2 linked regions of the Kluyveromyces lactis genome follow. The main gene of each other region encodes a partner of the protein of the gene in region 2 in a complex. Links are inferred from orthologs where the notes say so. Each region holds a gene or a part of one and is shown on either strand. Other genes may lie near its edges. The genes, in order: SPC97 and SPC98.

Region 1 (4,241 bases), on a different chromosome or scaffold from region 2:
TGTTTCGAATTAAATTAAATTTGTTAACAATTGAACTTAAATCAATTGACAAAACTGAATTAACCTTGAAAGTGATTTGAACGTCCTTTTATATAACCTCAAATCATGGGAAAGTACTTCAATGTCAATTGGTTGGTGGTGGTCCAAAGAAAAAAAAATTGACAAGAATCAATCAACTGTTTCTCATCAAAATTGAGCCAAATGGGAATCAGGGAATCAATGTTTGCTAGTCAGACAGCCAGTCACTATGGTGCAACATACAACGTGATTTCCAGATGCCAGTTATTATAGGATTCCAGAAAAAAAAGACAGTTGGGATGCGTGTAAACCGAGCGGTGGTTGATGATGGCGTGCCAGCTTCCGGGCTTCTTCTTTTTTTTTTCTCTGTGGGGTGCCTGGATTGTGAACGTGTCTTTCTGTGTGTACTGGAGAGACTTTTGCTATGTCTCTCACACGCGTGCATGTCTCATAATGTCTCGTCTGATGGACATGCATGTGCGAGACATGTGCTGCCTGTTTTCTGACTTCCTGTAATTCATAATGTGACACAAATGTACAATTTTTTTTTCGTTTTCTTTCCTTCTCAGCAGATTCCCGGGATACCGAATGCCAGTTTTTCTGTTGTCCCGGAGGGTAATCACACGGAAGCTGGGAAGTTGAGAACAAGAAAGAAGAACGAAGATTCTTCTTTGTCCCTCTTGCCATCCCGGAGGGACAAAAAATAAAAAAAAAGTAATAGGATCAACTGTTGGTTCTTGTAAGATCGCTCCATACGGAAACGTACTGTCTGAGGGTATCCATCCTTGTGATCCATCCGGATGAGCCAGATAGTTCATCATCAGAAGTCCTGCGCCATGAAGCTACAAACCTGATGAACGAGTGGATCACGTGAAGTGTGGCTTCTTGCAATTCGATCTGTGGCAGTGATGTTAATCCAGATAGGGATACGATGTTGGTCACGTGGTCCTGTACGTGTTGTTGAATCTGTAAGAGGTCTTCCTGCATTGGGTGGGTTCCAGTCGCGGCAACGGCTGTGGCAGCAGCGGCAGCAGACGTAACTTGGTTTCTTTTACTTTTCACCATTGATCTCATCTGGAAGTGCAATATTCGAGCTAACCTGATACATTGACCTCTAACGTAGAAATATCTAACACCATCATCATCATCGTCATTGTTGTCCTCGAAGATCATCCCATGCGTCTCGTATTCACTTTGCTGGGAAGAGTTGCGTCTCCAATGCTTGTTCTTACTGATTTCGAACCACGTGTCCTCTAGTAACCTTTCATGATATGAGAGTATCAATAATAACCTTTGTATCATTTGATATTGTACCATCACTGGTTTCGTCCATATTATGTTCAAAGGATACGGTATGCTTGTTTCGAATTGTACATACATTGCAGTTGGGGTTGCATTTTTCTTTTTTTTGCTCTTCCTCCCTTCATCGAGTTCATTTGAGCCCTGTGAAGTATGATTCTGTTCTTCAGCGACTAGCATCCCCTTTAATTGTTGGAAATTATCGGCGTTTAGCAACCCAGTTTCTTGTTCATCAATGAATTGTCTTAGAGTCTCGTAAAATGGGCATGTATCAATCTTCACGCTGGTCAATTTAGATAATATCATGTGTCTATAGGTATCTTCTACGGAAATTTCTTTTAAGATGTCATCGAAATGCCTTTGAATCTTGTGCAACGTAGACTCTGTCGGACTTCGAGTTAACTCGAATAGCGTCTTACTTAAGAATTTGGTGTTCCATAATTGATCGATGACTCCATGTACATACGACTGATCGTGTATCAGATTCAGAAATTTATCCATGTGGTACCCTTCGTAGTACATCTTGAGACACTTTTCGTTAGCCTGTTGGTAACATTCGTTGACATACCCTTTCAAGAAGGTCATATTTGTTATATCGATGTTAGTGACACTAGTTCCCCAGGATCTAGGTTTAAGAGCTGTGTTTCCGCAGCATATGGCGATTAAATTCCAAATTTTACCCGTCATCAATATTTTCTGTTGCAATTCTTTATCGCGAAATTGCGGAAGTAATCCATCCTTCCGTATCACGAACCTTGTATCCCATAACCTTTCATTATCTATCGTATTAGCCAATTTTTCTTCGTCCACATCGGCGACCGTATCACTTATCAAGAACTCTTCATGGTAATCGTTCAATTTTCCCTCTTGCATCCATTCAACAAACATCTGACCGTAAACACGGTTAAGAGAATCGCATATTAGGGATAAAAATTCAACGTGTCTTATATCACCTTGTTCTTGTTCCATTATCTGTTGTACTATGATAATTAAGGATCCTCCTTTCACGAATAAGGAAACCCGGGTATCGTATAGTACACGTAGATCTAACTCGTCATTCGTATCTCGCCTTAGATCATCCATGAAATTGTTAAAATCCATTTGAACTCGATCCATTTCACTCCGTTCCCTGGTACTGTCCATAATCCGATCAACTATCTGATCTAAAAGTCTAAACTTGTATATGAATCCATCTTCAAGTACCATCTCCAAATCTCGTATACTGAACTTCACATCTTGCTGAAACCGTATTTCCAACTCCTTGATACAACTCAAGTAATTTTCATACAAAAATATGCGTACCTCATGGCCCAAGCGGTGCATTACTCTACCGTATCTCTCGTCGCAACACCATTGCTGGAATTTATCTAATTTCACAAATATTGATCCTATCTTGATCAATTTTTTACTAAAACTCTTAAACGTAACATTCATCATCTTAACAACTTTATACTCGGGACCGGTCATCGAATCTCTTCTATAGCTGCTATTGTACCGGATGTACACTCCCTCGTACCCTTGCAACACAAGTAACAAATCCCGAACTACCAAGCTTTCCTGTACCCTATCATTGCTAGTTTTTTCAATCGGATACGTCCTAACTTTAATCTCTTCGCTACACAGTGGAGCAGGGTTCACTCGACGACCAAACGGTCCTACCTTATCGTTAAGTAGAAACACGCTCTCAACAACACCGCGATCCTCCATTCGTTTGTTCGTCTTTCAATGCAACAATATGCTAATTCTAGTTTAATTTTTGATAAATCCACACTGACTTCACTGATTATATGTTACCAAATGTGCTACAGGATCACACAATCGTTCTATAGGTATTAAGCGGTGGAATGGTTGGTTATCTTCATTGTTTACATTTAACTTAAACATCTTTTATGTTTATGTTTATGTTTTTGTAAAATCATTTCGCTGGATAATTAGACGCGCGCCTTAGCGCTACGATGAGATGCGCTCTATATCCGGGTAACTTTTGGTTCACTAAGAAAAGTGAAAAATTACAAAGCCATAATGAAAAACCCATTATTCAGCCTGTATTCAGATTTAATAACGATGACTTTGAGTATTTGATCTGTAAATAAATCGTTTTCATATACACCTAAATCTATATTTGGTGTCATGAATGAGTGCAAATAAAAAATTTGGTATCCTCAATTAATACTACATGATTTTTTGAGTGAAAAGTGCTTTTCTAGTGGGTTTTTAGGGGTTTTAGGATTTTGTTTGAGCGGAACGACATAAGAGTAACGCAATAAAACAAAATACAACATAATAAATTATCGGAGGATGGTTGACATATTTCAACCTGCCGTTTCTCCTCCAGGGCTTTCTGAAGAAGCTGCAAGGTCAGATAGTGCTTCTTCTGGGGTGAATGGGGACAGAACTGCAATTCCTAGAGATAGTAATGGCAACGGCACTGGTAAACCAAGAAGGAAAGTTAGCAGAGCTTGCGATAGTTGCAGGAAAAAGAAGATTAAATGTTCTGGAACATTGCCTTGCAAATCGTGCGAGACATATGGCTGTGAATGTGTTTATTCTCATGCTCCGTATGGGGTCGCAAAGGGCAAGAAAAAAACTGCCAAGAGTGATTCATCTGCTTTCACAAAGGAAAAATTATCGGTACAGTCTATACCAAATAGTACAGTAGCTATTTTGAATCCCGAAATAGATGGGAACTCCTACGCACCTTCTAGAACAGGTTTTAGTGAGGCTACAATTACTGGAGTACAGAGTCATTTACACTCATCGAGATCATCATTTGGGAGAGATTCTAGTTCGGGTCCTAGTGCCACCGGGTCCATGTCAGTGACACAGACGAGTCACCCTGTTGGGTTTTCATGTCCAAGACGCTTTGATCCTGTGAAAGATGATGCCTCAACGAATATCAACGATCCATCTAGTGATGACATCAA
Region 2 (4,521 bases):
AAGAAGCAATCGAAATTTTGTCAAAATCTGTGCATATAAAACTATCTACTAAACAACTATGGCATGAAAGAGAATTATTTATGGTGCAAGAACGAGGATGGACAAACACTGAGGTACATGAGAAGGACCCATTCACGTATAGAGGTATACAGAATGAGGAACCTGAAACCATGAATCGCATCGAAGATTATTATGCTAATGCTTTACCCCATTTTTCATCTCTAGTATATGTTCTATTAGAAACTATTGAAACTTGTATGTCAAACAAAGTATACCTTGAAGAGGATTTTTCTGAAGAAGAAATTAATGAGCTTCAACCACAATTGGAACTTATAAGATCAAAGGAAATTGCAATGGAATCGAGTTCTGCCATACTTTTCCTCCTTTTAAAATGGTTTAAGGTTAGCCACTTTCTTAAATTTGAGTATCTTTGCTCGTTGATTTACGATTCAAAGTTCATTACGACAAGCGTAGGCATCCTTCAATCTTTTACTGATCAATATCAAAACAGAATTTACTCTAAACATTTACAACCTACCCATTCTTTTTGGAGTGAATGTTCTTTATACAATGTTCAATATAAAGAAACTCTTGAGATATCAACCGCAAATGAGAAAGCAAACAGATTAAATCTCCGAATGCTCAATTCCGAGGTGTATCTATTACGAGTGTTATCCAAAATAACTGGGAAAAAGACACAAAGGCTAAAAGACCTACCACTTAATGTTAGTAACATATTCAAGGCATTGTATTCTATCTTTAATCTGGACATATACCACCCCATATTAAAGATAATTCACGAATTGGCACCATTCAAGAATAAAAGATGGAGGGCAGATCATATGGAATTGATTTCTGGAGTGTTCTTACATGAGAAACTTCATTTAACAGATAACTGGATAACAGGGAAGGATATCACGGGCGAGATCAACGATTCCTATGGCCAAGAAATTGCTTTACGGGCCATGCTGCAATTCTACAATTTCTATCACTATAAAAGAACTATGGAACATTGCGGGTACGATGACAAATTCTCTAACTCTTTCTTTTCAAGGGAGGCTGAACTACTCTCTGCTCCTTATTAAAAAATATGGCATAATAATAAGTTAAACAAATGTATTATACATGTACTGTATTGATATATATATTATGTATACATGTATGTCTGCATATGTCTTTCCTTCAATCCTTGTGATGGTCACCAAAGTCAATCACGTGACTATTTCACAACCTTTTTCACTTTATGTTTACATCATTGGATACAACAACAGTAGATCGATATTGTTTTGTGAAAATATCAACAAACAAGAACGATTTGTGCGCTAAAGTGAAAGGTAAAAGATGTGAAAAAGAGCCTCTTCCCCTATCTCTACTGTGGGGTAACGGAAAAAACAATAATGGACCAAAAATTTGGCACATGTGTACTACACATGCTTCCTGCATCTGCTGGCAGTGCGTATTCTCAGCAATTAATTCAGGACCTTTACTACTCTATCAAAACATCATCAAAGGAAAATGTCACAAAAGTATTGGAATATTATAAAAAAATAATGGTGCAACGCAATCAGGACATGAAAAGTTGGTCTCATTTAGAAATGTTTGCCGGCATCATGTGCCATCTCTCAAGTCCGGAAGAAAAACATAAATATTTACTGCAATGTTTGTCACTTTTAGACAAAAACGATGAGTTGTATGATATGAGAGAACCAATGTCGAAAGAAGTGATAGAAAATATACAAAGGAAAACAACGGAAAGCGTCTATGCGGATTCTTTTGAGAATTTTGAGAAGGTATCGGACAGAAGGTCAATTGGGTCCTATGGGGGAAATGCTTGGCAACATAGTTCATCTGATGCTACATTACAAAGCTTATCAGATCCATATTTCAGCACAATGGTATCGAGGGCCGATATCGTTAAAAGTATACCCTATCTTGTGTTGGGAACACCCTCTACTTTATTCGAACTAAAAGACAAGAAGTTCACAATACCCAGCAATATTCCGAACGGAGAAAGCCAACAGTTGCATGATATCGTTGAAGCAGGCTTACTTTACTTGCACCTTCAAATTAGAGTGGAATATCTTAAAAAACATGTTACCACCAGTACACTAAAAGTAGCATTTTTGACATTGATTCAAAGTAAACTTCGAGATTATAGTAATTTCGTCAACAATTTCTCATCCCACTTACATCCACTCGATCCATTATGTTTTACATATCAACACCTCTATCCTGAAGTACTAAAACTAAGGACATATATGGAATATATTGAAAACTTTGAAAAAAGCAGTGCAGAGGGATTACTATCTGTATGCCAGTTACAAAAAAGTAATGGTGATCCAGTACTCGAGAAATTTGCATCTGATGCGTTAGAGCGTCTTTTACAACCCTACATGAAGAACATATGCGATTGGTTGATTGATGGAAAACTGGATTCAAATGTTAGTAGTGACTTTTTTGTTCAAAATGACGAGAAAGAACCATTGGGATTGGTATTCTTGCCACAGAAAATTCCAAAATTTATACCGTCTTTAGTGGCCAAAAAAATATACATTATTGGAAAGTCCCTCCGATATCTCGAACATTGCTGCAGCGAAGTTGAATGGATTGGAAAATTTGCAAATAAGTATTCATTGCAATATAGGCTATTAGGCCCTTCAATGGATCACAAATTTTTCGAATTGGTTAACCAGCAATATGGTGAAATTAACCACTATATCAACACCACATTACGATCGAAATTTTATTATTTCGAGACTCTCAACCTTTTAAAAGATATCCTTCTAATGGGTAAAAGCGATGTGATTGATTCTATTATTCAAAACTCGGAAAATCTCTTCAACCAACCTTCTCAACTTTTAGAAAGCCATCATTTAACGAAGTGTCTACAAATCGCAATTCAACAATCATCTCTGAGAAATAGATTGAACAAATCAGATAACAATCTCTTGGTGAATAGGCTTGATGCTAGAATTTTGGAATTAGCACATGGATCTTCGGGTTGGGATGTTTTCACATTAGACTATCTCGTGGATCAGCCTCTTTCAACAGTAATGGATATCAACCAACACGGAAGCCGCAGAGATTATCTGAGAATTTTCAACTTCTTATGGAGAATTAAAAAGAATGAGTACAATTATGAACAAGAATGGCAAAAAAATTCATCCATTCTTAAACTTTTTAGAAAGCTGAACATCAGGGTTCCATTTATTAGGGATTTACTGAATAAAGTTTCAATGATCAATGTTTTAAAGAATCAGATTCAATCTTTCACTAAAAAAGTTGAAACATATTGTTTCGAGAGTATTATTGAACATGAATTTAGGAAGCTTCTTTCGAATCTAAATCATAAAGATACCGATCCAACCTCCTCGGTTAAAGTTAAAGTGCTTAGAAATGGGGTAAAAGTCTCAAGCGGTGTTTTAAAACCTGATCTTCATTTTATCGAAAACTTCAAAGAACTTACGACAGATGATGTTAGCGGCTATTCTTCATTTGATCTTGAGGATCTAAAAAGAGCTCATTCTGTATTCTTATCAAATATTTTGAATCATCCAATTTTATATTCAGGTTCAGGTGCTTCGCTTGGAACATACACTCATCAGCTGTATCCAACTACTTTGGTTTTATTGATGGATATGAGTTATGAGTTTGTGCTAAATTACTCTGAGCTAAATAACGTCATTCATGAGATTTGCATTCAGATGAACTTAGATCCTAACCAAAATTTGCATGACCCGATAATGAGATTCAATGTAATTTCAAAGAAGTTGGTTGATCAATGGAAGGATTTTGATAATGAATGCAATGCTTATATCAAGGATTTGAAGTGGGATGAAAATACTGAAATAAATAAACTAAGTAAGATACTTCACTAATGCTACTTTTATAGACGGAAGAAAAGAATAGATGACTCTGTGGAAAGAGTTTTATACATGCATTGGATAAAACATTCTTGCAAAGTAGCTTTTGATGCCTGATCCAAGTAAGTAATCATACTTGATCTCTCTTTCTCTCAAGATGTTATTGTCTTTTTCTGATAAGTTTGAATCATCATAATCCTTTAACCGTTGCAAATTTATCGTTTGTCTTTCTTTTATCTTTATCTTTGCTGTCACCTCCCGCAATCCCAATATAAGGAGTAATGCCGCAACGAAACAACATCCCGCAAATATTTGAGTGTGGAGATATGGGTCGTTGGAGTTGGGTTCAGTCAACGCTTGTGCAATAACTTCAGCAACAAGCATGAATGGAGAGCCCACCAAGTTAACATAACCCCAAGCGGGCAAAAAATCTACCGGTCCAACGATGTCAGCAACTAGCACGGTGTTCATAACATTAGCTACACCAATACATAGACCGACACATATTGAAAACCCGATTAAAGATGAATAACTGTCAGCAGGGATCCAAAAACCGAACATGAAAATTGTTAAAAGTAACGTTAGCATAACAGTAATATTCGTTCTACCGATTTTATCCCCTGTGTATCCAATTAAGGGTCTACCTACACTTTGGGCA

What was found.
Region 1: the proteins of SPC98 (region 2) and SPC97 are in contact, whole or in part, in a cryo-EM structure (PDB 7M2W), measured with the Saccharomyces cerevisiae proteins. The link is inferred for Kluyveromyces lactis from reciprocal best matches to the Saccharomyces cerevisiae genes SPC98 and SPC97. Residues at the interface, in NP_014273.1 of Saccharomyces cerevisiae: Ser163, Ser164, Val165, Thr166, Leu167, Arg168, Leu170, Ser171, Tyr174, Tyr175, Asn177, Thr178, Asp203, Glu205, Gln206, Ile207, Gln208, Ile209, Pro210, Ser211, Lys212, Ile213, Pro214, Asn215, Phe216, Ser218, Gly219, Leu220, His222, Leu223; in NP_012042.1 of Saccharomyces cerevisiae: Met1, Glu2, Ile3, Lys4, Glu5, Asp8, Arg9, Ala10, Glu11, Leu12, Thr16, Ile19, Pro20, Leu21, Leu22, Gly23, Lys24, Leu25, Val26, Asn27, His28, Gln29, Pro30, Leu31, Trp32, Asn35, Pro36, Lys37, Leu38, Phe41.

The regions. Positions count from the first base shown.
Region 1 is NC_006037.1:800,156-804,396, reverse strand, and holds SPC97 (gamma-tubulin-complex subunit SPC97), read right to left. Parts: upstream 3,025-4,241; coding exon 742-3,024; downstream 1-741. Other genes in the region: drug-responsive transcription factor PDR1, read left to right, coding at 3,616-4,241. UniProt on the Saccharomyces cerevisiae protein: Involved in microtubule organization by the microtubule organizing center, the spindle pole body (SPB). Probably part of the microtubule attachment site at the SPB.
Region 2 is NC_006042.1:2,258,374-2,262,894, reverse strand, and holds SPC98 (Spc98p), read left to right. Parts: upstream 1-1,397; coding exon 1,398-3,878; downstream 3,879-4,521. Other genes in the region: FAR11 (Far11p), read left to right, coding at 1-1,085; ESBP6 (Esbp6p), read right to left, coding at 3,930-4,521. UniProt on the Saccharomyces cerevisiae protein: Involved in microtubule organization by the microtubule organizing center, the spindle pole body (SPB). Probably part of the microtubule attachment site at the SPB.